Linked DNA regions of Kluyveromyces lactis. The protein of the gene in region 2 interacts with the protein of the main gene of each other region in a pairwise test. Links are inferred from orthologs where the notes say so. Each region holds a gene or a part of one and is shown on either strand. Other genes may lie near its edges.

Evidence for each region. The genes of interacting proteins can lie anywhere in the genome.
Region 1: the proteins of UFE1 (region 2) and SLY1 interact in binary tests that used the Saccharomyces cerevisiae proteins (3 or more experiments, as listed by UniProt). The link is inferred for Kluyveromyces lactis from reciprocal best matches to the Saccharomyces cerevisiae genes UFE1 and SLY1.

Annotation. Positions count from the first base shown.
Region 1 is NC_006040.1:1,557,497-1,561,244, reverse strand, and holds SLY1 (syntaxin-binding protein), read right to left. Parts: upstream 2,511-3,748; coding exon 582-2,510; downstream 1-581. Other genes in the region: RVB1 (RuvB family ATP-dependent DNA helicase pontin), read left to right, coding at 1-481; chaperonin-containing T-complex subunit CCT6, read right to left, coding at 2,873-3,748. UniProt on the Saccharomyces cerevisiae protein: Able to suppress the functional loss of YPT1. SLY1 is essential for cell viability. May interact indirectly, or directly with YPT1.
Region 2 is NC_006037.1:696,660-699,496, forward strand, and holds UFE1 (Ufe1p), read right to left. Parts: upstream 1,520-2,837; coding exon 530-1,519; downstream 1-529. Other genes in the region: ribosome dissociation factor GTPase HBS1, read left to right, coding at 1-453; CDC21 (thymidylate synthase), read left to right, coding at 1,967-2,837. UniProt on the Saccharomyces cerevisiae protein: Syntaxin required for targeting and fusion of Golgi-derived retrograde transport vesicles with the ER.

The DNA.
Region 1 (3,748 bases), on a different chromosome or scaffold from region 2:
CCCGGGTGTTCTTTTCATTGATGAAGTGAATATGCTTGACATCGAAATATTTACTTACTTAAACAGAGCATTAGAATCTGATATTGCACCTGTGGTTGTTTTGGCCTCAAACAGAGGAATGATCACCGTACGCGGCACTGACGACGTTGTTTCTCCTCACGGTGTTCCACCAGATTTGATAGATAGACTCCTAATTGTTCGAACTCTACCTTATAACAGAGAAGAGATCAAAACAATCATATCAAAGAGAGCTGCTGTAGAGAACTTGCAGGTGGAGGACGAAGCATTGGAATTTTTGGCGACTTTAGGCACAGAAACTTCTTTGCGTTATGTTCTACAGCTTCTATCACCATCAGGTATCATTGCTAAGATTGCAAACCGCGCCGAAATATCGGTGGCAGATGTTGAAGAAGCAAAGCTATTATTTTTAGATGCTAAAAGGTCTACGAAGATCTTGGAACAATCTGAAAATTACTTGTAACTTTAATTTCGTGTTAACATGGCATCTTACTTCATCAAAGTATAAGTTTATTATAAATATATACTGACAACAAATAAAATCATAAATCTATATTATAACCTCACTTTTTAAATCCTGAGATCTCTTTCAAGAATCCGTTAGGGGAGATTATATCAGTGCTACCATAAATGACCTTCTTGTTGCTATTTTCATGTTGGTGAACCCATTCTTGAAGATTTTGGTATTCAAAGTAATTACCGCCACCTACAACAAACACCAAGGATTTATTATATGTCTGACTCTTTGGTAGCTTCTCGTGCGAACCCCTTGTGCTTCTAGGATCAAAGTAAAGATATTCACTTGTAATGTGAAGGTTCTTTTTTGAGCTGTTCAATGGATCCATGATGGCTTCGACGATATTGGTAATGGGAATCGTTTTCTTCTCGGGAAGAAGTTGTTTGATTCCAGAAAGAAGAGAACTAACACCTTGTATTTTCCCCTCAGTTAATCCATATAACTTGTTTGATAGTCCGGAGAGAAGCTGTGATGCGTTACCGTCCTGGCCTTCTGAATTAGCGGATGTATGCGTTTCTAATGATTTATTTTGTAATGCCATTGAAGAGAGTTTGAACATATGTCTCAAATCATATATGTACTTTAATGCGCTGATATCATACTCGACGCTTTGGAAATATTGCTCCACTTCTTTGACAAAGGCGCTAGGCAATATTTCTTGTGCTGTCAGGTACATTATGATATACGTACGCGCCTTATCTTCGATGTTGTTAGTCTTTCCATCTTTAAGAGCAGCAAGGAAATCTTGTCTGGTTTTAGAAGAATCGGAAGATTGTTCCAACTCAAAGAAAGAATCTAAGCCTTTGCTTTCAAGCTGTTTCAAAAGCCCTGCGAGAACTGTCATGTGTGTATCAATGGTAGATTTTCTAGCTGTGAGAAGTGGTAATTTTTTCACAGCTTCTTGAATTTGTATAGTGTCACTTTGTCCTGTTGGATCAAGATCTGTCAAATTGCTTACACCAGTCTTCTTGGTAATTTCTTCTGCATCTTTTTTGTAATTCGAAAGTTCAGTTTCCACGTTCTCGACAGCATCAGGGAATGGTAGATGAGAATTGGCAATCCAGAAAAAATCTTTTGGGTCTATATCCATTTTTTTAATAACCTCTTCGTTTTGCTCGTTGGTGGTAGGCATGGTTATAGTGTTTCTTGATAATTTGAAAACATCAAATACCAAACATTGATAAATCCAGGAATGTGCAAACATAGAAGCAATGTCAATATTTCTATCCACTATAACAAGAACAAACCGCTCAAATGAAGTTGATCCACTAGCTGAAGATCTGGTACCATTGACATAATCACGCAGTTTGGTTTCAAGTTTTTGAGCCACCATTTCAGCAGCACCACCCCTTTGTGCTCTAATAATAGGTATAGTTCCAATTGTGACGATAGCATTGAAGATCCCAGTAGCAATTGAATCGCATAGATTAGTGATAACGTCCTCAGAACTCTGAGGATTATTAATAAGTCCATAAGTGCCGGGCATCTCCAATGAAAACATTTCCGGTTCTGTTACAACGAAATCCAAATATTGATCGTACACTTGTTTTATTCTGTCAGACTTGCCAGTAGCAGAAGCCTTGCTTGCAAAGGTTTCTAAAAGATCTCTTTTCAATGTAGTTGTGAAATTGATGTATGTTTCTGAATACTTATCTTCTTTCAAGTCCTGGACAATCGCATCGATGTTCGCTTCTGTTGGTTCCACGAAATACACTGCTGGAACATCAGGTAAAGGGGATCTCTGTTGTGTGATAAGGGCGTGAACTGTAACATTGGATTTTAACAAGTCATTGACTCTCATAACAGATGATATTATAGCGGTGCTCCTAGCATCCATGATCAGTACTTTCCAAACGATCTCTTGTTCATCAAGATTGCTTGTTGCTGCTTCCGTTCCTTTATCTGAATTGAACAGTAGCATCTTTTCAATAGACAGAATCTGTCTGTCTCTTAAGGACAATTCTGAATTCAGCATATTACTCTGGTATATATGTGATCCCGATGAGGTATGCTGTTCAATGGTTTGCAGTCAATGACTTCACTCTCGTCCGTACTTTCTGTACTTTTGGTGTGTCTGTTTATTATAAAGGTGCTTCCAGTTTTGATGTTTAATCATTTTTTGAAGTATATTAGTATTTCGTTTTCGGTGATGGAAACGGTATTTGGCCAACACGTAGATTTGGATCTATAGCACTCGTGAAGAGATCGCATATTACATATACATCGGCCAAACTTGAGTCTTGTACTTCGTATTTATTTCCATTTAGTATACATAATTCTATTTGATTTTGGAACCTACGTTAAAGACAGTGATATTTTTTAATTGTACCAGCTTCATTATTGTGGTGGACCTTCCTTCAATGTAGATCTACCGGCTCTGAGTAGTTCGTCGCATAGCAACAAGTTAGAGGCTATACCTGCGGCACCAGTTACTGCATTTCTGAGGACACGATAAGAGTCCCAAACACCTTCTATAGTTGGATCACAAGAGTCGCCAATATTTAGATCAACACCCACTATTCTTGTCTCATCTTCTTCCAACTCGTCTTGGCATTGGGCAAGTACATCAAGGGCATCATATCCGGAATTCTTTATTAATGTCTTAGGAATAGACAAAAGTGCGTCTGAAAAGGCTTGTACACCTGTTTTTGCTTTACCTTTGGCGCCTAGCTTGTTCATATTCGCCCTTTTCAAGTGCTGGGAAGCAGAAATGAAGAATGCCCCAGCGCCAGGAACGACAGCACTGTCTTTGATGACATTTGCAACAGCTCTTAAACCATCTCTTACTGCATCTTTGGTTTGGGTCAAAGCGTGGTGAGTAGAACCTTTAATCAAAATGGTACAAGACTTAGGATCTCTGTTTTCGGTGACGTAAGTAAATTTCTCCTCGCCGATAGTTTCCTGGTAAACCAATCCGGAATAACCTAAAATTTTAGGCGAAAGATCATCAACGGAATTTTGAGCTTCACCCCCAGTGACGAGTTGTAGTCTTTCCATATTACGTCTCTTGGCTCTTCTTAGAGCAAGAATGTTGTGTTTAGCAAGAACATCTAATGACATTGGGTCGATACCTTTTTGGTTTATGATAACAAAACCCTCTTTAGAATCCATACCACATACTTCATTCTTCAAGTCGATGATTTTTTTTAATTTCTCATCAACAAATTTTCTTTCACTAGCAGCCAACTTGTCTCGTTGGTCAGCAGAGCTGTA
Region 2 (2,837 bases):
CAAAAAGTGGATATTGCATTACATGGAGACTTTGTCCAATTGAAGTTGCATAACGCCTTCCCTGAAGATATTCAAGGTGGTGATTTGGCATCTATCGTTGGATTTGATATCCCAAGCTCCCAAGAATTTACCTCAAGACTCTTGACTTTCAGGCTGGATAGACCGTTATTACCTGGTACCTCGCTCATGCTCTTTAGAGGTGCTACAGAACAACCTTGTAGAATCAAAAAATTGTGTTGTACTGTCGATAAAAGTAATCCATCTAAGGTTTTAAAAAAGAAAGTGAAGCATTTGGGTTCTCAACAAGCTGCCATAGTTGAGATCGAGCTGGTGGAGAAAAAAAGAAGAATCCCAATGCTAACATTCGAGCAAAATAAGAAGTTAGGAAGGGTGGTTCTAAGAAAGGAGGGAAGAACAATCGGAGCTGCGTTGATCAAATCTTTAGATTATTAAAAACTTACCGTACATATATACACCATTACGTATCACCGTGTAGTAAGCAATTGCAACAGAGAGAAACGAATTAACCTTAATTTATGTAATCGAAGAATAACAATAGCAGTCCACAAATTATAGCAAACCACATGACCATGTTAGCGAGCCTATCTCCTTTCCTGTTGGCCTGTTTCAACTGTCTGTTACCTTTTTCCATTTCCATCTCCACGTCAGTCTGATTATCGAGCAATGTATTAATATTTTGTGTTTGAACCTGCAAATGTGTAGCCAATTCACTCTGTAGCGATGCAATATCTACTGCGGTTCTCCGTAGTGCCTCTGCTTTTTGTAATTCTTCGTTCTTCAAATTAAGAAGTTCTTCATGCTCTGTGGCCAAGATTTGTAATTGTTCTGAAGAGAGTTTGGACATCGTTTCCTCGTACTGTTTGATTTCTTCAACAGTTGTCGTTATCATAGGAGACTGTGATACAGAAATTTCTTCAGGTAAGTGTAATTGAGCATTGAAATCAATGGCTTCGATATGTCTTTGTCTGGATAATCGTGTCTGCTGAATGGTTGACAACCTATCTGAAATCTTCATGAGCCACATATTCAATGACTGTAATATACCCATACGAAATTGATTATTCACCTTGTGGAAACTGGATACATCGTCAATTGATCTAGAGAAAAATGGTACGGTTGCGGACCATTTCTCTAACTTTTCTTTCATCATTTCTTGTCTCTGTCTTTCATACGATTCCAATTGCTTATATTTCTCGAAATATTGCTGTAATTGAAGTTTGCTCTCTGTATCAAAATCATCTTTCTCCTGATCAGTCATGTCAGTAGCACTTTCGTACCTGGGAGTCAATTGCCTTATCACTATCTGGAATTCCATAATATGTTTCATCAACTGCTTACTTTCTTTTACAAAAGTATCCTTTACACTAAACTTTTCCTTCACCTTTTCTCTATCCTCTCTCGCTTTCGTATTATTCAATTCGTTCCTAGCATCATCAATTCCCTGAGTCTCTGCAATCACTTGCATGTACTTTTTGAAGAGCTCAGTTCTATTACTCATATTAAGGTAGTCACTTTCTTTGTATATATTCTTTTTGACACTTACTCAACATAGAAAAGCTTGAACAAGGAACGCTTATAGTCCCAGATTAGATAGGGTAAACACACACGATAGTTGCCTCTAATTGGACAGTTAATAGACAGTATAATTACCAGTAGAACGGTACCTCCTTAACCAAAGTAACCTTTGGTTAAATTTGATTCGCATTCGTTTGCCAGACCAAAGCTTCATCGAGGATGGAATTAAGAATTTAGGTAGCACGTGACATTGTTTCACCATCATTACCCGGCCATTGAAAAATTCCCACAACACGAAAACGCGTTAAGAATCAGACTACGGCTTTTAAGAGTTAAAGGCCATCTCTAGTTTAAACTCTATCTTACTTCAACCATCCTTCGACTCCTTTGGCGTTTTATCGGATCATTAAACAACCAACATTTGTCAACCATGACGCTGAGCGATGAAAACGTGAAGAGAGTTAAGCTTGAGGCTGTTAACGCGGAAGAACAGCAGTATTTGGATTTATGTGAAAGGATTATCAATGAGGGAGAATTCAGACCAGATAGAACTGGTACAGGGACTTATTCCCTTTTTGCGCCTCCACAGTTACGGTTTAATTTGAGCAATGATACTTTCCCGCTTCTCACTACGAAGAGAGTGTTTACGAAAGGTATTATTTTGGAGCTCTTATGGTTTGTTGCTGGATGTACAGACGGGAAGAAATTATCAGAACAAGGCGTTAAGATATGGGAAGGTAACGGTTCTCGTGAGTACCTGGACTCACTTGGGTTGACTGACAGAAGAGAGGGGGATTTAGGACCAGTTTACGGGTTCCAATGGAGACATTTTGGGGCCGAATATAAGACATGTGATGATGATTATAGTGGTCAAGGTGTTGATCAGTTGAAGGAGATTATTCATAAGTTGAAGACAAATCCATACGACAGAAGAATAATTCTTTCTGCATGGAACCCTCCGGATTTCCCCAAGATGGCTTTACCGCCATGCCATGTTTTCTCGCAATTTTACGTCAGTTTCCCCAAGGGAGAAGGTGCCAAACCAAGATTGTCATGTGTACTTTATCAGAGATCATGTGATATGGGTCTAGGAGTACCCTTTAACATCGCGTCGTATGCGCTACTGACGAAGATGATTGCTATGGTCTGTGATATGGAACCTGGTGAATTTATTCACACTTTGGGTGATGCGCATGTTTATAAAGATCATGTTGATGCATTAAGGACACAAATTGCCAGAGAGCCAAGAGCTTTCCCAAAATTGAAGATAAAGAGAAATGTCAGTGATATCGACGATTTCA